Oryzias latipes: one gene and its partner. The protein of the gene in region 2 interacts with the protein of the main gene of each other region in a pairwise test. Links are inferred from orthologs where the notes say so. Each region holds a gene or a part of one and is shown on either strand. Other genes may lie near its edges. The genes, in order: rpp14 and rpp30.

The links.
Region 1: the proteins of rpp30 (region 2) and rpp14 interact in binary tests that used the Homo sapiens proteins (3 or more experiments, as listed by UniProt). The link is inferred for Oryzias latipes from reciprocal best matches to the Homo sapiens genes RPP30 and RPP14.

What each region holds. Positions count from the first base shown.
Region 1 is NC_019863.2:25,334,949-25,345,395, forward strand, and holds rpp14 (ribonuclease P protein subunit p14), read right to left. Parts: upstream 6,948-10,447; 5' UTR 6,056-6,947; intron 5,560-6,055; 5' UTR 5,341-5,559; coding exon 5,258-5,340; intron 5,167-5,257; coding exon 5,082-5,166; intron 4,371-5,081; coding exon 4,294-4,370; intron 4,198-4,293; coding exon 4,119-4,197; intron 3,971-4,118; coding exon 3,914-3,970; 3' UTR 3,883-3,913; coding exon of another isoform or gene 3,412-3,882; 3' UTR 3,198-3,411; downstream 1-3,197. Other genes in the region: pre-mRNA-splicing factor ISY1 homolog, read left to right, coding at 549-551, 765-787, 878-929, 1,013-1,078, 1,158-1,200, 1,270-1,382, 1,460-1,577, 1,654-1,776 and 3 more; hydroxyacyl-thioester dehydratase type 2, mitochondrial-like, read right to left, coding at 3,412-3,882; MAP kinase-activated protein kinase 2, read left to right, coding at 8,254-8,520. UniProt on the Homo sapiens protein: Component of ribonuclease P, a ribonucleoprotein complex that generates mature tRNA molecules by cleaving their 5'-ends.
Region 2 is NC_019877.2:1,034,543-1,045,024, reverse strand, and holds rpp30 (ribonuclease P protein subunit p30), read right to left. Parts: upstream 6,627-10,482; 5' UTR 6,362-6,626; coding exon 6,280-6,361; intron 6,026-6,279; coding exon of another isoform or gene 6,016-6,025; exon of another isoform or gene 5,985-6,015; coding exon 5,926-5,984; exon of another isoform or gene 5,916-5,925; intron 5,862-5,915; coding exon 5,727-5,861; intron 5,640-5,726; coding exon 5,568-5,639; intron 5,455-5,567; coding exon 5,365-5,454; intron 5,256-5,364; coding exon 5,139-5,255; intron 5,070-5,138; coding exon 5,040-5,069; intron 4,887-5,039; coding exon 4,670-4,886; intron 4,540-4,669; coding exon 4,465-4,539; intron 4,396-4,464; coding exon 4,358-4,395; 3' UTR 4,213-4,357; downstream 1-4,212. Other genes in the region: nudt13 (nucleoside diphosphate-linked moiety X motif 13), read left to right, coding at 6,016-6,025, 9,904-10,039, 10,106-10,248, 10,316-10,423. UniProt on the Homo sapiens protein: Component of ribonuclease P, a ribonucleoprotein complex that generates mature tRNA molecules by cleaving their 5'-ends. Also a component of the MRP ribonuclease complex, which cleaves pre-rRNA sequences.

The DNA of each region.
Region 1 (10,447 bases), on a different chromosome or scaffold from region 2:
GTCAGTCAGTCAGTCAGTCAGTCTCTAATTTTTAACTGTAAAAAATAATTTGGGATGACAAAATGTGCAAACATAAAATTTTTCACCTCAAAGCATTTTCGCATGATTTTGTTATTACAAAAAAAAACGTTATTTGAGGTAACAAAATGTGGATAAATTATTGTATTTAATTTTTAAAAATACTTTATAAATGCTGATTGTTTTAATTCATTAAAAAATGTAATGTTTGCATTTTAATTTTATTTGTAGCTACAAGGCATAATTTTATTACAATTTTTAGATTGACCTATGCATTAGGTAATAAAATCTTAAATGTTTAATATTCCAAAGTTAGATTCAAATGAACAAAAATGCCATTGAAGACTATTTGGGCGTGTTTTTGCACAAATCATCTCTACACGTTTAGTTATTTTTGACGCAGTAAATATTTCCTCCGCTAGGTGGCAGTAATGAAATTGTTTTAAACCGGAACACAGAACTATAGATGATGCGTTTCCTGTTAGTGTGGCGCGTGCAGGTTGTTTTGAGAAGCAGGGAAATCAACAAAGATGGTGAGATTTGGATCGCTTTTGTCAGCTTTTCGACTTGGTAGAGGATCAGTCCGGCAGCCGCGCAGAAAACCATCAGCAGAACATTCGGTTTCAAAATGCCGAACTGCCTATGTGTGGTGCGCGCGGGCCACTGCTATTGGACTGAGCCTGGATTTCGGTGGTTCGGAGATGACGCTGGTTCTGGTGGGTTCTAATCATGTTTCTCTGTTTCAGGCGAGGAACGCCGAGAAGGCCATGTAAGTATTGCTACGTGGAAGCAGTTCAGAACCTCTAACTCACGGGTTCTGTTGCCACAGTGGTTCTGATGGCCTTGCTGTGTCTTTCAGGACGGCGCTGGCCCGCTTCCGGCAGGCTCAGCTGGAGGAGGGGAAGGTTAAGGTTAGTTTCTGCTGGTTCTGTCTGTGGCTCATGTCTCAGTCAGTGTCTCACTCTACTCCGCCTGTCTGTCTGTCTGCCTCCAGGAGCGGAGGCCTTTCCTGGCATCAGAATGTAGTGAACTACCAAAGGCAGAAAAATGGCGACGCCAGGTACCATTGTTGTTCTCAGACAGGTTCTGGTCGAAGAATCAAGCAGATGTTCTGACTGTGTTCTCCTTAATGGCTCCAGATAATCAGTGAGATCTCCAAGAAAGTGGCTCAAATCCAGAACGGTGAGTTTAGAACTAGGCTGAGGTTGTCTCTGATCCGTTTGCCTGTACTTAAGACTTACTGTGTTCCAGCCGGTCTTGGGGAGTTCAAGATTCGGGATCTGAATGATGAGATCAACAAACTGCTGAGAGAGAAGGGCCACTGGGAATATCGGATCAAAGAGCTTGGAGGGCCCGACTACAGGGTAACCAGTCCCGTCTGCGGCTGGCTGCTCCGGTCCGAACCAGGAAGATGGAAACGTTGATTGTGTTTGTGTTCCAGCGCTTTGGACCGAGGATGCTGGACCACGAGGGCAAAGAGGTTCCAGGTAACCGCGGCTACAAATACTTTGGAGCAGCCCGAGACCTGCCTGGAGTCAGAGAGCTGTTCGAGAAGGAGCGTAAGTATCCTTGCTACTTCCTGTTTACCAGGAACCTGTCATGATGGTTGCTGCATGACTGTTACGTGACCCACAGCTGCTCCGGAGCAGAGGAAGACGAGGGGAGAGCTGATGAAGGACGTGGATGCAGAGTACTACGGCTACAGGGATGAAGACGACGGCGTGCTGCTTCCTCTGGAGGTGCAGTACGAAAAACAAGGTAGATCTGCTGCAAACGATGGTCTGGACTTGTGGACCAGCATGTAGAGGGGTGACTGACACAGTGTGCGTTTGTGTACAGCTGTGATGGAGGCAGTTCAGAAGTGGAAAGCGGAGAAGGAGACCCATCTGCCTGGAGAGAAACCGGCACAAGAGGAGGAAGAAGAGAGCATTTACAGTGTCCAAAACCAAGAGGTGACCTTCATCTACTTGACTCATCCAACCAGCTGCTGTACAGCTGACCTCACCCAGTCAAACCTGCGGTGTGTTGTATCTGAGCATTCTGTTCAGGGTGTGCTTGATTTGTCTCTTCACAGCCCGATGATGATGAGAATCGGGATGAACTGGAGGAAGAGGAGGGCGGAGTCACGTTTTTTGCCCATGTTCCAGTCCCATCTCAAAAGGAGGTGAGGTTTCATGCGTGTGGTTCTGTTGTGGAGCGATGAAGAGTGGAGCCCCTGTAGCTTCCAGTCAGGTCCACTGACTATGCATGACTGGATCTAGTGAGTGTGATGTCACCCATAAAAATGGCTTACTTTCAGCTCCAGTGAAAAGTCAGTCGCCATTTTTTTCAGGATACGGATCTTGTTGGAGGCAGACTGTAGTAGCCAGTAGTGAGCCCGTATGAATCAATGTTTCTATGGCAACCACTCTCGCCAATTAGGAGTGAGCGTGTTGGAAGTCCACACCTCACGCTATCAATCGAACTGTTAAACAGTTCGAACAAGAGATACGTGGATACATCAGAATTTCCTGAACCTAAGAAAATCTCTTTATTTTTTTTGTAGTTGTAATAAAATAAATCACTTCCTGTATTCCGGGTATCATTCACTATTTTGTCATCTCCTTCGTGTTGGGTGAAGAACACAAGCTCTTTTTTTGGTTATCATTCATCTGATTGGCTGATTTGCCGATTGGGTGAGAGTGAAAGGCTGCTGATTGAGAAGCAAAAGATTGAATTATAACTAAGAGTACCATACTTTTTTCTTTTTTTTTAATCATTCACTCCATCAGAGTAAGGAACTTCCAATGGGGTTTTATATTGCTGTTGCATAAGAATATGATGGTCTACATCCATAACATTTGTTTCTGCCCCAGGTGGAGGAAGCTCTGGTAAGGAGGAAAAAGATGGAGCTGCTGCAGCGTTACGCCAGTGAGACTCTTCAGGCTCAGAGTCAGGAGGCCAGAGCCCTGTTGGGTCTCTGATCATTGTTCTACTTGTGTGTCCCACTTTGCTGCTCCGCTCTCAATAAAGCTTCTTCTTTGCTATTTTTACAAACTTGTTTGTGCGAGTCTTCAATCGAACCCCATCATCTCCTGACAGACAATCCTGTTTCCAACCATCATTTCTGCTGCATGGATACTCTGAGCAGCAGAAACTTCGGGGACTTTTAAACCTGAACAATACAAACACTTAACCTGTTATTTTTATACAATAACTTTAATCACCAAAAGACAAAGAGCATGCTGAGGTGTAATTACAAATTCTAAAATGTGATCAAACTTGAAAAGTTAGAAAAATAACTTTTTCTAATGAAGAAAAACAAAAATTCAGCTAGACGACTGACACGCGTCTTTAGACCTCATTTAAAACCAAACTTGAAACCAAAATCTGCTGCATCTGGATGTCCTCCAGTCACTTTCCCTGATGCTGTTGCTCCACAGGCATCATCACCATGACCTCCCCCTCCATCACCACTTTGTCCTTAGCAGAGCACCTCACAGAGATGAAGGCGAACGACATCTTGATTTTGAACACCTCTGCTTCTGCCAGCACCTCCTCTCCAACGTAAAGTGGTGCCAGGAAGCGGATCTCCTGGTGCAGGAAGACGCAGCCGGGGCCGGGCATCTTGGTGCCGAGCACGGCCGAGATCAGCCCGTTGATGAGGACGCCGTGCACAATGGGCGTCTCAAAGGAGGTGGTGCTGGCGTATGCTGGGTCCACATGCAGCGGGTTGGTGTCGCCTGTGAGCTCGGCGAATAGCTCGACGTGGCGAAAGGAGAACGTTTTGGTGAGGGAAGCTCGCTGTCCGACGTGGAGCAGCCGGTTGTGAGGACGAGCCGCCGCGACAGAAGACAAACCGAGTTTGATGATGTTTCTCCACATGGCTGCACTCAAACCAGAAGCAGCTCCCGCTTCAGTGGAGCTGCAGCTCACGACTGTTTCCTGTCAGCGCCAACAGGAACGGAGACACCTGAGAGCAAAGTGGGGAGTTTTATTTACATCTGAATAGCAGGTAAGCAGATTTCTCATTTTGAGTTAAAACCAACAGTAATTTGATCGCTCCACTGACAAAATGGTTTATTTCACAATCACCAAATGTAGAAAACATGTTTCCTGACCTGCAGCACCCTGAAGGCGCAGCTCTGGTTCTGATAAGAGCCGAGCAGAGTCAGGGAGCTCCACAGTTTCACTAAACCACTGGGGGGGGGGGGGAGAAAAGAGCATAATTAACACAACATTCACAAACTTTGAAATGTGAATTAGAAATTCTGACAATTATGCCTTTAGGCTGACCTGCTGTGAACACGCAGAAGAGCCGTCAGACTTCCTTCATCATACTTCAACACATCAAAGTTCAACGCTGCTCCAACCTGAGGTACATTTATGCAAACAGCAGCATTATAAAAGCGTTTCCAGTTGACTTTTCATTGTGATAGTGCAGTCGTTGATTTTTCCAGCCAAAGTGAAAAAATCTGTGTTGCTTTCTAGGACATAATTTCTGCAGAGCAGCAAAACTTCGTTAGAATTCTCAGAGTTGCAGGTGGGACTGTTGGCATGGAGTAAACCTACCATCATCCTTCTGTTTAAACACTCTCCCACTAGCTTACAGCCTCTCACAACCCCAGCCTAACATTAAAGGTGCAACAAAAATGGAGAGCAATATTGGAGCTTTCCAGACGTACAGTTTTGAGCCAAATACCAGCTCGGACGAGGAAAACAAAGACATACACGGATCTATTCGACTGTGTGTGGATGCATCAGAATGGAGTGGAGCAGGGGGCATGCGGCCTGCCAATTGTAATTTCTACGTAAAAATACAACCTTTTTTTAAACTGCATTTTATTTCGTCTGCTTCTGATTCCCAACTATTTGAACACATACTTTGAAATGCGATTTTTAGATTAATGTTCTTATTATATGTCCTCCATCATCAGAAAAATGCCCCAAGAACATGTTTAAAAGACCATTTTCATCTAAAGGGGTCTTCAATGGAAATGCATTCATAATGGTATTCAGCGCTTCATTGCGCTGACAGCTCTTATTTTTGAATTGAGTTCTTCTTTTTCAGTGCACAATCTCACCTCTCCATGAAGATTCTTCAGGCCTGCGATGATGAAGTGTTTCAGCTCTACTGCACTCAATCTGTTTGAGTTATCCTCCAGTTCACTAAACACAAGTGGTAACATACAGATGAAGTTCCCTTCTAAGAGCTGGGCAGACACTAAAGACAGAACATTAATCTTGAACAGAGACTCACAGGTGGACTTTCATGTAGTGGTGCGGTGAAGCGTTCTTCAACACGACACGGTGAAAAGTCTCCTCTTTGTTGATAGCTTTCATTTTAGTGAAACATCAGTGACTCCGTCAAACTGAAACAAATAAACCACAAAAATCTGTTTCCCGAAGAACCAACATGCTGTTTTAAGCAGAGATTACTGATGTGCGTGTGTCCTTCTGAATGATTTGCAACACAGGTCTCAGACTGCAGTCCTCACGCGGTCGATGTCACGCTTGTGTTTCTGCTCTTTCAGCTTCTTCTTGTTGGAAAAACACCTCAACCTGATAATCAGCAGGAGGCCTGGAGGTAAACAACCCTGACACAGAAAATCTTTCCAAATGGTGTCAGAAATGATAGAGCACAAAATTAAATCTTAAAATTTTGTAAATTGTGGTACATTTGTAGTATTTTCCTTTAACTTCTCTCTCTTGGTGTGTTTTATTTTTTATTGATGTTTTACAATTTCGCCGTTTAAGCTAGTTTTTGTTTGTTGTTCAGCTTCCTATCTGGATTTTTGCAAACGTTTAAATATCCAAATCTTTTATTGTTCAGAATTGTTCCACAAAAAAACAAAAGATTTAAGTGTTAAATCAAAACGAAAATTGAAAAACAAAAAAGCCAAGGTCGAACCACCAACCACCAGGAAAGCGAAATATTTACTAGCCAACTCAAATTAAAGTTAGCACCTACGTTGTAAGATGTTAATTCTCCCAAGATACGGACAATAACTGCCCGGATTTCAATATGTGTATACTTAATATAATACGTTGCACTCACCACCACAGTTTTACCAGTTTGAAGTCACAGTTGCATGTTTTCCTTCGACGGGCGCCGCCATGAAAACCTCAGCAATGCGCGTGCGCAACTCCAGCGGAAATGATTTTTTTCTTCCTAAAACTTTATTTCACTACTACAGGATACAAAACAAAAGGACTAAAAACATCCAGGTAAATATAACAGACGAATAAAACAAGAAAAGTTGAACAAATAAAAACAAAATAAATAAAAACTATATAGGTTATTGGGTTACCAGCGTTAAAGAACAATACTTTAGATTTTTACAAGAAAGAGTGTTATTAAAACAAATAAAACTGATCATTTCAAGTCGTTTCTGTAAAAAAATGTAATGCAGGTATACAAATAAATATCATCCAATGATCATGCAAAAGGTTTGAAGATTAACTACAAATTTTGCACATGTATGATAAATGGTGGAGTCTCAAAGAATGTTGTGCAAAAAATGTAAGAATTACATTTAACATTGTTAAAAGCAAACATTCTTTTCATGGGCATGAACAGGTTCAAAGATTTCTTCATTGTCATCTGAGGATAACAGTTCCACGGTCAGAGCAGCTGCAGGGAAACTTTCCCTGTCCTTGGGTGAATTCTTTTTCTTTTTTGTTTTTTTGTAAATGTGCTGAGTGCCAACTTAAAGGAAATTACTGAACCTTTAGAAGTTGCTAAAAAGTATATTCCAAGTTAATATTTTAAACATTTTAAACATAGTTTTACTAGCAGAGAATGGAAGGAGTAGGCTAGATCGAGTGCATATCAAACTTGCTTTTTCTCTTGTTACTTGTTGCTATAACATGAATGTCTATTATCAAATAATTTTCTCTGTATTGTTAAGCCAGTACTGTTCCCTAATTCCTTCATAAAAGTTTTATGATTGTCTCATCCACACACAACATAAAAAGAAACATCCAATAAAAAATATCACCCCCCCCCCCCCACCACCACCCTTTTTTAATAAAAGGCAGAGTACGCTGATTTGTGTAGCACCACAGAAGCAATTTCAGGGAGAGATGCTTCTACAGCATTAGCCAACCAATGCAATCAAAATAATAAATGCCACTTTAGTCCCAAAAAGTTTTTATTTGTCTTGTTTACACATATTAATGACTGGTGCACTGCAGGATGCAAATAAAAACTCATGCCAAACTAATATACCCCAAAAAAAAAAGTCAAAGTACAGAGCCCTGGACATGACATTCAAAGTTAATGAGTAGATTGTTCCCTAAGAACAATACTTTTTGACCACAAATTGTAATTTTGTGTGCACTAATTTGTATTTTGTTGCCACAAATTGGTATTTTATTGACAACAAATTGGTATTTTATTGACAATTTGTGGGCACAGATTAACTTTTTGTTTTGAAATTGTAACATTTTGTCGCCTCAAGTGAGCATTTTGTGCACACAAATTACTACTTTGGTGTGATTAATTCCTTAAAAATTTATGGCTACAGAATATTAATTTGTAGAACCTAGTTTGTGGCCACAAAATGCCAACAAAGTAAAAATTTGTGTCATGTCAAGGGGTCAAAGGAACCCTTTTTCCCACAACAGTGATACAAAATGCGTGTTATTGTCTGGAATTTATTGAAGTACAATTTGAATAATACTCTGAGAGTTAGTTGATATTTCTAGAAGTTTCTTGTTTTTACACCAGTCTGAAAAAACTAAATTTGAGACTTCTTGGCCTCCACAGATCACTAGCAATGAATGAAATGCCACTGAAAAGAAATTGATCAGTGTGTTTGAGTCCGGCTCCTTTAAAGCTGTCGCCTTGAATGAATGAATAAAGGAAGGAAGGTGGGGCTTAAACAAACAGTGACAGGAGCTGAAGGAACACGTGAGAGTGACTGAGACTCAAGATCAACTGCAGGTCGGAGTTGCTGGTCTGTCAGTGTCACAGACAGCAGACCGGACTTTTATTTTCGGTTGTTGTAAACCGATCCGCTTCGATTTTTTTGGGAGAACTCTCCTGACCGGACAGGTTACTTAAGCCGTATACTTCAGGTTTGATCGATAAGAGAGAAAAACTTGTTTTTTTTTTTTATGTGAAATACTTTAGCGAGTTTTACTAAGATTTCCTTTGGAGTCCTGGACGAGCCGATGCGGCGCGGCTAGAGGTCTGGTCCGGAAGGGTTGCTGGAGAATTGACCTCCCCCTGTAAGATCCCAGGTGCTGAACATGCTTCAAAATGGAAATATTAAGGAGGAAAAGCTGCCGCAACCAGAAGAGACGGGGGAGACGAAGGGTGACTCACCCGGTCCCGCGGCGGACGACAAGGACTCCGAGCCCTCACACTTCCCCATGCCGGTTCACACCAAACTGGAGATAAAACGCAACGCAGTGACGGACGATTACAAAATCTCCAGTCAGGTTCTGGGCCTGGGGATCAATGGGAAAGTCCTGGAGTGCTTCAATAAGAAGACTGGAGTCAAGTGCGCGCTGAAGGTAGTGAAAAAAAACAGTCCTGAAGCTTTCCATTCTGAGAGCAGCTGACGCACACAGTGGACGGCGGAGCGCAGACTGTCGCTGTAATTACATAGATAGTATAGTATTGCATACACATGCAGTCTCTTTAGGTGTTGCAAATGCATGCATGACTAAAGCAACACACAGCCATATGACAAAGTAAACATTACAGTCAGCTCAGAAGGAAACAGATGAGGAAGTTACTTCAGTGTCACATGTACTTGGAAATAATAGAAATATTTGTTTGGATAACTGACATTCACTAAGTGAATGGACAGAAGAACCAAAAAGTGTTGCATTTATTAAAGCTCAAAGGTGATTTAAAAAAAGTCATCTTTGCTAATACATATTTATTAGAGGTGTAGCGTTTCATTTCAACAGCGATTCGATTTGTATAGAATTACCGATACTTTTCAAGATTGATTCATTTTGAACGATCCAATTCACTGAGCTACAATCTATCCAGGATGTCTTTAGCCAACAATTCAGACTCAGACATAAATACCTGCGTTCTGAACAGTGCAGGTGACGATTCCTTGTATTTCTTGCAAGATAATCAAACTAAGTGTACAAACACATACGTAAACAAGAATTAATGGCAAATCCATTCACAATTTAGTTTCCTAAAGTTCAGCCCACTGTTTTTTTTCCACATCAAAATAATACAAACTATTAGAAGATACTACCACCCTGTATGGTCTTGTGTCTTTGAAAATTTCAAAGTATTTCCACACATTGAGCTGGAATGATGGCTTGATCATATGTTGCCGCCGTTGCATGTGTGTCCGCTGTGATGGTACGTTTTTATGTTATAGTAAAATAAACCCGCTGTGCCTTAATGGTATTTTCCAATATTAGTATAATCAATCTATTTCATTTTGAAACTATGAACAGACCTTTAAACAATATGATATAGGTCAATTTGATTACCAACTTGCTTCAGACAAATCAATGTGTTGGATTGTATATAAATCGATTCATCAATTAAGTCGATTCATTGTTACAACTCTTGCTTTTAGAGTTGTTTATATTCTTCTTGGGTTTCAGGTAATTGGTTTATTAAAAAAAAAAAAAAAGGACAATAGGAGTTTCGTATTTGACAGCGCTTACCTTACTAAGTTACACAGCACACGTGCTGTAAGACCATGTACATTATGCCGTTGCATATGTGTCTATGTGCTGCCCACATGGATTTTTAGCTCAGGCGAATGCAGGAACACGCGGCCACTCAATTATAGCTTTCATATGCAGCAGAGGAAGGTGGTGTGTCTGTGTGTGTGTGTGTGTGGGGGGGGTAATTTGCCTGTCACCTGTCCACACTTGGCCTCGGACTCAGAGATTTGCAGGCTTACAGTAATCTATCTGGATGTGAGCTGCCAGCAGCAGAGCTGTTGCTCAAAGAGACTTAAGATGAAATAAAACTGAAAATACATATTCAAATTCAACTTCATTAAAATGGTAAATGTTGTATACTAATATAGTACTTTACTACCTTCTAAGAAGGCCCAGGATGCTTTACAATCACAGTTCCATTCACCAATGCACACACACACACACACACACACACACATTCACACACTGATGATGGATTCACTGCCAAACACTGGCACCAATTTATAACCACCAGGTCCAATGTGGCGGTCAGTGTCCTGCTCAAGGACACTTCCACACATGGGCCGGCGATCTTCCAATCAGAGGTCTGCCCCTGCATCATGGCTGCACATAATGTAATGTAAAGAAAATAGATGATATTAATAAAAATAGTAATCACAATAAAATCCTCCCCAACATTTTATGCAAAAGCAAACAAGGAAAAAGTGTATAAAACACGAGGAAACGTAAAAAATGACTTAAAAGCTAAATGACAACGGTGAGTTTTTCTGTTTCTTTCTGAAAAACCTCCACC
Region 2 (10,482 bases):
CTGTTCCTCCAACCAGACCTCAGAACGCCATGGAAGTCCAGACCCTCAGCATCATCTCAGACTTTCAGAACACGGGTGAAGAAGGAGCAGGGCTCCTCCCCCCCAGCAGAACCTGAAGGGGTCCGGATGCCAGGTCCAAACTCAGCAGAACCTGTTTCTAGATGGATGGATGGAACTTCTGATGATCTGCAGATTTGCTGGCTCCTGCTGAGAGAATGTTGTTCCTTAAAGAGAGGAAGAGGAGGAGGAGGAGCTGCTCTGCAGGGCCTCGGGGAGGAAGATTTTACGCTCAAAATCCTTCGACATGAAAATGATGAGAAACAAGTCAAACTTCGCCACTGAGGACGGAGGGGGTGGAGCTGTGGGGGGCCTGAGGGACCAGAACCGAATCTGAAACAGCGTTTAGCACTCTGCTGACCTTCATCCTCCTTCTCCTCCTCCTCACACTCCTGCATCCCCTCCTGTTCTTTCGCTCCGTTTGCTCAAACAGCTTCCACTCGTTTAACAGATCCTCAGGAGAGACCCAGAACCCGTCCGTCCGGATTCCATCTCAATCCGCCCGCTCAGCCGTCCTCAGGCCACCTTAAGTCGCGCTTTGAGTCAGTTCCACCTTAAGTGAAGCCTGTGAAGAGATCTCTGCTGAGCAGAAATGAGTCTGATCTTCAGATCAGACAATTAACGCTTCATTTGATTTGTCAATAAATTTCTGATTTGGAATGAAACATTGATGTAAAAACTATTTATGTGAAAAAGGAAGTTTCTGTCACAAGAAGGACAAAAACAGTAAAATACTGAAATCTAAAGTGGACTTTTTCCCAAAATAAAAGAACATCTAACTATAACGACATTTACCCTTAGTAGGGGGTCACATAATATTCATATTTAGATAATTAACTGTTAAAAAAAGAAACTTAAATGTGGAAATTAAAGCTTCAATCTGGTTTAGTTGTTAATCATCTTTTTTAGTTAATTGGAGGAAGAAATTGGAAGGAATAACTTTTGTGTGATTTTGCTTATTAATGGGCTTTGGCCTGTTGACAAAAATATAAATAAATAAATTCTCCTTTGCATCACTATCTGATCAAATTTATTTATTGTATGTTCACATTTATTTAGATTTACAAAAGAACAAAAGAAGGAAAACCTTTCTTGTCTTTTGGCTTTTGAAATGTGTATTTCATAGTCCAGGGGTACAATATTACAAAAATATAATGTTTAAATTATAATTTTCTGTGTTTTGAAATTCTCTTTTTTTTTCAAACCTAAAAATCATGATCAGTTCAAAGTGTTTAATAAGTCTTTTTGTTATCATTGATCTGTTGTCCATAAATATTGTGATTTTCTGAGGATCAGCTCCTGTGCTCTGCTGCCCCCTGGTGGCTCAGAATGCAGCAGCAAAAACCCTTTGATTTACATATTCTGCTAATTATTAAGCATTGATTGTTTTTTATGATGGTCTCAAATAAACTTTATAACTCAATACATACAAAAATATATATATTAAGAGAATTTACAAATGTTTCCATGTCTGACCAGAGCTGTTTGGTTTTAACACAAGGAGGAAAAAAAGGTGGAAAAGTGTTTCTTTGTTATGTTGGTAAACTTCACAAATATCATTGATATTATATCTTAAAATGTGTTAATTTTTTTACATCTTTTTTTAAAAAATTGAACATTAAAACTCTGATCCCTTATTAACGGTGACGTTAAAAGTTTGACCTTCCTCTGATTGGTTTTTTTCTGCTGTTACGTCACTGTATTTGAAAAAGAGTGGAAAAAGGGAATGGCGGAAAAGGTCAAAATAAAGAAGTTAGGGGGAAGTATGACTTCCGGTCCAGATTAAAATATTCAAATTAAAAGCAAAAATTTACACCTAAATGTGGCTGTTTAGAGATATTAAAAAATTTTCCAACAAAAAAGCAAAACTTAAACTCTATGTTTTGTTGGTCGGTCTCTCCAGAAATTATAATGTATTAATTAATATTGTTTTCAGTTTTTTTTCATTAAACATGAACTGAACACGATTGAACGGTAGAACGAGAGGTCAATATATGGATAGATACATTTGTGGGATCTTATGAAATTTATTTCATTGTTTTTTGAACAATAATTTCAAAGACTAAACCGACTTTGACAATGTGACCGTTTCATCTGTGCTTTTATTGTGAAGGGCCAGAACGTGTTTGGACCGGATGTGTCCCGCTGTAAACTAAAGTCTGCAGGTCGACGGAAGGACGGAGGGTTCCGTGACCCAGAGCTGCAGGGAGCCCACAGTCGCCTGGCGAGTGGCTAACCGGTGACCCGCCCGGTTTCACGGGGATTTGTTTGTATACCGGCAGTAAACACAGCCAGCTTCCGGTCACTGCGCGAACGCGAAAGTTTTCCTGCCAGTAAGCTACATGTTAGCATGGAAGGCGCTAACCTGCTGAAGAGGCGGTTCCTGGAGGAGGGGGCGGAGCTTTGGAGTTGTAAACCAGTGCAGGTGAGAGAAAAATACGTTTGTGGACTTCAGTCCTGATTGATCAGGTAATAATAATCAGTCAGTTGTCCTTCCGCTGATTAAACCTTAGTTAGCTAGCTGATTTGTTTAACATCCACTTCCTGGTTCCATAGTGGGACTGAAGACCCTGACTGGGCTGCCCGCTGAAGTGCCCAACCGTTTATTTACCTTTATCTCCTGCTTCTGTTGTCAGAACGATGTTTGGACCAGATTTATACGGTTCTAAGAACCCATCCAAGTCCACTCTGGGCCCGGATGTTCTGATGCTTCTGAGGTTCCAGATAAAGGAAAAGTAAATCTTCAGTTTGAAGATCTCACGGCTCCAGAAGTTCACGTTGGTGGTTGTCATTTGGAAAGTAGAGGGGGTGGGGTCGTTATTATGATCAGGTGATCAATCAGCTGGCTGTCACGGAGTTTGTCTGTGATTCTAACTTAGCTTCAAAACCGCTTCACTCGGGTCTGGGTCAGTTCCTGCAGATGTTTCTATAAATGAAGCAGAAGTTTGAACACACTGATGATGTTTGCATCCAGAAGCGACTGTGCATGGAGGCGGCTCTGCAGCTGGCGGAGTGTCCCATGGAGACGTCCTGCGTTGCCACGGTGACCAGTCAGCAGGAGCAGGTCAGTGCTTGAAGCTGCAGATGTTGTTCATTAAAGTCAACATTCTGGCCAGATGGACGTAAACAAAACAAAAAAAGCCCGTTGACTCCCATCAGAACCTCCCTGAGGTTCCACGTTCAGATCAGAAGCCTCAGCTTCATGTGATGCTGCTGTTGCCATAGAAACGAGGTCCCTTGACGTGTGCGCAGGTTCGTGCCGTTCATCTCAGACCTCCTACCATCTGCTGCGCCCGATGTCTCGGAGGAGAGCCGGTAATTTCTTCATCAGCTTTAGCACCTCTAAGTTTGGCTTTTTTATTAGTGAAATGAATTCTGGGAGATGGAGTCAACTGCTTGGTTCTTGTGCTTTTAGGGTCATATCAACCACATCATGGGTCTCTGAAGTGAGGAGGAGAACTTCCTGCAGTCTCTGGAGGACTCGTCTGAACCTTCAACCATCAAACTACTCTTAAACTCCACCTGAGGGTTTTTCTTCAGCAGCTGCTGCCAGAGCTTCAGGCCATCATCGTCTTCCTCCATCGACTCGCAGTAACTCCAGCGGGTCGGGACGTCCACCCCACTTGTGTTTACTTTTGATTTTGTTCTGCAACACTCTGATGTTTGAGGCTATTAGAGGTTTTTTGCTTCAGTAAGTTTAAGCCACGCCCTCCTCGTCTGATTGGTTTAATCCATCCAGTCCAAAGAAACTGCTATGACCTTTGACCTCTAACAGTAAAGGGCTATTTCACCAGGGAGGGTGTTTCTCCCCTCAGTCTGGTCTCAGGATAACTCCTCCCTCTGTGGTGTTTAAGGGAAAAATTCTGTTTAGTGACTTGAATTAACTTTAAAAAATGTTTAATTTAATTACATCTTTGTACGATTAATGAAATATGAATCCAGAAATGTTCACTAGTCTTCCTGTTCGTACATTTCTATTTTTATAAAGATATCTATATTTGTATGTCCAATCTGAATGTGAAGGAACGACCTCCTAAACTTTATTTCATTATCGTCAAGCTCCAAGACTAACAGCGTTTGTAATGTAGATTTCAGAATAAAAGCTTTGATACGCTTTGATTTTGAAATAAGACTCCTTTTTTTAAGGGGGGGGGGGGAGGTTCTTAAATCAATTTTATTTTTCCAAAAAAATACAAAAGTTGTCCAAAAAAATTTTTTTTAAATACTTGATTTAAAAAAGAAAAACTCATGATAATGAAGTCACAGAAATCGGAGCTGGCCCCGCCTCCCTAGCTGTCAATCAGGTGGTCTTGACCCTCTTGGCGGCAGGAGTGTCACCTGCACAGGTAGACGTTACATTCTTATCAGATACTCGGATGCTGAGCTCACTTCTGCACCAGAACTGACCCTCCGGAGGATCCGACGGCGCCTCCTGCTGGCTCCTCGCCGTGTACACGATCCCGCTGGCCGTCTTCCGAGTTTCTGACCACAAACACACACGGGTTGGAATTAACATCCAGGATCCGTCCACAAGTCGTGGACTGAAAGTCTCTGCTTCCTCTGTCCCTAAACAGGAGGAAGAGGAAGAGCCTGGGATGGCGTCCGTCCTCACCTGCGTGCAGCAGCGCCGCCCTGCAGGTGGAGGAGACGGCCTCTTTTGCGTCTCCATCTGACAAACCGAACAGCAAACCTCTGAAGACGCACATCAGGAACACAACAAACAGACACTGCTGTTGTGGGGGGGCGGCTGCTGTGACGGGGCCCCACCCACTCGTGATGATCAAAGGATACAGGTTGGTGATGTCATACGGTCCTCGCAGCTCCAAAGCCTGAAAACACAAAGGATTTTTAAAAACTACGGGAGCCTGAGAGGACCAAAACTCAGGTCTGCCATTGAGGTTCAACAGGTGGAGTAAAAACAGCTTTCACTGTGAAACACGGGGGTGGCAGTGTGATGGTGTGGGCAAGTTCAGAACACTGACCTTCTCTGCCGCGCTGGACAGGATCACGTTCTGAAAGACCAACAGATGTGTCAGGTGAGTGATGATGTCACCTCAGAGTGGGCGGGGCAAAGAACCCACCTTCCCTTTACAGCTGTCCGTCAGACTGGCGGCGTTGGCGATGGTGTAGCGCCTCATGGTGGAGTCTCTGATGGCCGCAGAGTACGACACCTCGAACATGACTCCGCGGTCGATGGCCTGGACACAGCAACGCGCACACATGCAGAAAAACGCACACATGCAGAAAAACGCACACATGCAGTCGCACAACGGCGACAACGAGAAGGCCTGGCGGCGGAGAGGTCACCCCATTGATCGGCGCTCTCTTGAAGAAAAAAGGAAGCTTCTCGGTGACGGAGATGCAGATGATGTCGATGTCGTACAGCATGCAGGCCGCCTGCACGCACACACACACACACACACACACACACACACAAACAAATGACTGATGTCTAACACAAACCACAACTAGAATCTCCTGAAGACACTGAACACATCAGTGAAGCTCACATGGAACAGCTTCTCCGAGGTGGGCTGCACCGCCAGGAGGTCAAAGCGGCGATACTCTGGAGCGTTGGGCCTCTGAACACGTTCACACACACACACACACAGAAGGTTTGGATCGATCAGCTGATTGATTCCGATCAATACTTCAGCACAGACTCTTACATAGTGACTGGGGTCGGACACCACCACGGTCAGCCTGTTCAATACTCTGATGGGGCGGGAGCGCCCCTGCACGACGGGCAGCTGATCAATCAGCTCATTGATTGGTTTAGGGACAGGAATTTCCTGCAGAGGAAGCTGAGACTTTCAAAGTAAAAGCCATGACGTCAAGGTGGGAGTTTGTGGTTCCGGGTGGACTGACCTGCTTCTGCTTGGCTGTCGGTTCGAACATGTAGTTGATGGCGACGGTGGAGAAACCCACTGCAAAGACAAGAAGAAGGCTTTAGAGCGCATGCGCACAGGTGAGCCACACGAGCGTCCTAGCAGAACCCCGAGGAACGTCAGCAGCAGAGGTTGTCGAACAGGAGGAAGTTCTGGTCACGTCCGAACCGGGTTCTTCTCCATAAGGACTTTTCACGCGGAGGTTTAATGGGAAGCAGCGCGCGGGGGAATAAACGATTCGAATCGCCAGCTATCTTTAAAACATCCGGGTATTTCTGCTAAAACAGGCGAAGCTGCCGAACCACAGAACCGGGAAGTTCGGGGGGTAACTTACGGTGAGCCGCCGTCTCCAGCAGTTTGCTGATTCGAGTCCGGTCCGCCGAAAACATCAGATTTAGGTCCATGAAAACCGCCATGACGCTGCACGTGCGGAAACCCCAAAGGCCGATGGGAGTTGAAGTCTCGTTTGCGCAGGGGCGTCACTGGGTTCTCGCGATGGTGGGAGACCAGCCCAGTTTTTTATTCTTCATCTGGATTTCTGAATTACTTAACCTAAAATTATCTTTGAAAAAATTAATTATTGACAATATGTCAGTTTTTGAAATCCCCATTCATTTTTATTTTATCCACTTATTTATAGTTGGTTAATTTGTTTCTTTGTTGATCTCATCTTTATTTACACATCTATTGGCATGTCAGTCTTATGCATGCTCCTTTTTTTATTTATTTATTTGTTTATTTATTTGGGGGGGGGGGGGGGGTTACACAGCAATTGGTTGACGTGAAACCATTTATTTTACTGAGAGATAAATCCAGGACTAGTGTCCAGTCTTTTTCTGTTTGATAAGCAGTGATGAAAGTCTTCCGGGAATTCCCGGAAATCCGGGTTTTTGAGCAAACCGAACGTACTTTCCGGGAAATAAAGACCTGATCTCTACGGACAAATCGCTTTCCGGATTAAAAAATGGTCTGAAATCAGCTAATTTTAGCTTTATTTTCTATATTTCTCCGCAGATCGTTTCCTCTATGGTCGTGGCCATCTCTCGTCTTCCCGGCCTAATTGACCAATGACGGGACGTTTTAGTTGCTTTCGGATGCGTCGACGGGTCTGATTGGCTCTGTCTGCACCACGTGGTCAGCGTGACTTGCTTCCCTAGAGACCAAAACTGGCGGACCCACGCTAAACTTTCACAAACACATCTGTAGAGTTTGCGATCAAATTTGTGTTAAAATAATGGCAGGCATCGTCATTATTGAGCGTGGTCACGACCTCAGTTGTGAGAAGACGATAAAAAACAAATTGAAGTGGTCTTGGATGGAAAAAAAAAAAAGATTTTTAAGGTAGTGTAGGTCAAATACTTTTTTGTGTAAAATAATCTCAAAACCACATTTTGAAATAATTTCAATTTTAGTTTTGAGTTTCAGTTTTTATTTTGAATACATTTCTTTATCTAATTTATTTGTATTTCCTAATTACCATGATTTAGTTCAGTATAGTTGACATTAATTATAAGTATTTGATGGTTTGGACCCGCACTCCCTTAAAAAATAATGTTTACAATGTTTTGTTTAGTTTGTATGTTTGTTTTGATATTTCCCAGATTACTTAGTATTGGTGTTAAAGAATTGATGTATTATGTTATAGAATTATAGTTTAAAGCAGATCCCATATTTTGATGTAATTATAGTTTGAGAAAACAGTGCAAGTGGATGTTGTACATCAGTCATTTCTAAAGCAGAAATAATGTATAAATAACTGAGGTATTTTCATAGAATATCATAGTTACTGGTGTTCTTTTTGCCATTTGGGGCTTTGATGTTACTATATTTTAGCAATTGTATGTTTTGCAGCTTTAAGGAAAAGCGTAGATTGTAGGATTGTGTTACTTTGAGCAATTTTCCAAATTCTTTTTTAGGACCAGCAAGTCCTTAATGGAGAGTCAAACTAGGGGTTTGAATGACAAATCATGATGCTCCAATTAGTCTTAGTTTTTTGATAAAGAAGTGAATAACTAGCTGCCAGAATGCACCAGAATGCATCTAAGACCACGTATTTTTCCAAAATTTCGCTCTGTGCCCGCCATATCGCTCAAAGAAAAGTTCAGGGATTTTTTCCTTGCCTGACTTTCATCACTGGATAAGTTCAAGTTATGTTTTTTTTTTTTTATTCCTTTAAGGAGTCCTAGTTGTGCCTCAGAAACCTTTGCTTTGTAATCAATATATTTGTCTTAGTGTCAAATCAACAGATGAATCATTTATCATCAGGATGGTCCCCCATCAATCAAACAGAAGGTTTGCTGCACTGTGAATGTTGGTGTAAATATGCTACAGAAATCCACGATGATGTCTGGACTCTTTCAGGGTCATACATGATGTCAGCGTTGAATTTCAGATGGATGTTAAGTTAAGGAGGTTTGAAGTTTTGACTGGAATGAACAATTTTCACCATCTGCATGAATGAAGCTGTCAGTCAAAACTGTTGTTTTATTTTAATTACCAAGAATCTATTAAAATTGTAAAACTTTAAGGATTTGATGTCATTGGGAGTTTAATTCTTAAACTGTTGCAATAAAATGGAAATGATGTTTTTTGGTAGTTTTGCTATTTGTTTATATACCGTAAATTCAATCGTTATCGCAATATTAATCACCAATATCGCAAGTTTTGCTTATGCCGTGCAGCCCTACTGTTAATTCAGTTAATGCTCAGGTATTATCTGGTTTGTTTCTCACTGATTATTGTCATTGTTCTCCTTTATCATCTTTTTTCCGCAAATGATGAGTTTTAAATATCGTACACTATCTTTTTGTTTAACCTTTTAACCTTGTGGTATTCAGAGCGAAAAGCAAAGTGAGCATCTCAGGAAAACCTGTTTCCTAACTGTACAATGACAATAACCCCTTTAATCCTTGAAACTTATAAATAAACACATGAAATAACCTTTTTTGTGTGTTTTTGCTGGTCTACTTTGTGCATTCACACCCAGTTTTACATGTTTTTATTTATCTTCTTTTCACGTGTCGCTCTGATCTCAACCTAAAGTCCACTTTTCAAACCCTTTTCAGGTCTAAACCCTTACAAAGAATTGCTCAGAAAACGGAATTCCTGAAAATTGTTCTTTTTGTAATGAGGATATTAAAACAACTGAGCATCTTTTCTTTTAATGTTTTTACTCTAAAGCCTTTTAGGATATACGTTGATACGATGATATACGTTATTGGCTTTTCCCCAAGATTCCATGTCTATCAGACTTTTCCATAAATCATTTTTGGGTTTATTTTAGAAAACAAAAACACAGAAATCGTTTTAAATGTTATAACTATCCTGGGTACATTTTATATACACAAATGTCGATTCCTTTAAACCAAACCATATTCTTTTACCTAATTTTGTAATTGTTTACATTTTTCTATGCTATATCTAATTATAATTTGACAAACACCTTGGACAACTGCCACAAAGATTGTAAACCTCAAGTTTGTGTCTTCAATAAAAAATAAAATATATAATAAAAACTCTGATCTCAGATCAGTTTCCGGTCCGGAGCGGAACGTTCCCCTTTCCCGCCAGCAGGGGGCGGTGCGCGCGTCAATCTCGCTCTGTGAGGCACCGCCGAGGAAGACGTTCAGCAACCTGCAGGTACGAAAAGACACGAACCGAGCCGAACCACGGTTCTATTCTGATACTGAATCCCAAGGTTCGGTTTTACCGGTCCGTTGAAATCTTCCCGCTGACTTAAAAGAACATCGCGTGAAACACGTGACTCGGTGTTGTCAAACTTTAGAACTTTGCCCCAAAGCACAGAACGGGTCAGGTCTGTTCCGGTTCGGCTATATGTTTGGAATATCATATCATACATCTGTTTCCCGAGTCTACCGGGAGTCCATGTGGATAGGAACCGGTCTGTTAGAATAGGTTCGGACCCCAGCAGAACCTTTGACCTGTTTCCTGTCTGCAGGCAACAGAACCAGGCCAGTTCTGACTAGTGGACCCAGAACGATGCTCCTCCTAAACCCTCTGAGGGGGATCCTCAGTGCCAGACCTCAGGTTCTGGGTCTGACCCGCTTCAGCTCCAGCTTTGTGTCCAGGATGAGGTCAGGAACCCAAACTGATTGATCGAGTGACCCGATTGATGTGATTGATGTACAAACTGGGTCCAGATTCCTGAACCGGCTGAAGCAGGAGGACGAGGCGTGTGCGGCGGCGCTGCAGGACGGTCAGCTGGTTCTGTTCCACCGCCTTCAGCCTCTGCTGCAGCGCGGACCCACCGGAACCTTCAGACCCGTCACCCTCACCTGCTCAGGTACCAGAACCTCAGGAGGAACGAGAACCTAATACTGAAAGCTAAGACTGCTGTGTCCCTGTTTCAGGAGTTCAATCACTCCTCCAGAACTTTGGTTCTGATGGACCTCTGCTAGAAGACTCTATTCTGATTGGCTGCAGTGAACAGAACCAGGCTCAGTTCTGCCTGGATGTTGGTAAGATCGCCTGACAGAATCACCAGTGTTTCCTTCCCTCAACCATGACATACAGGTTC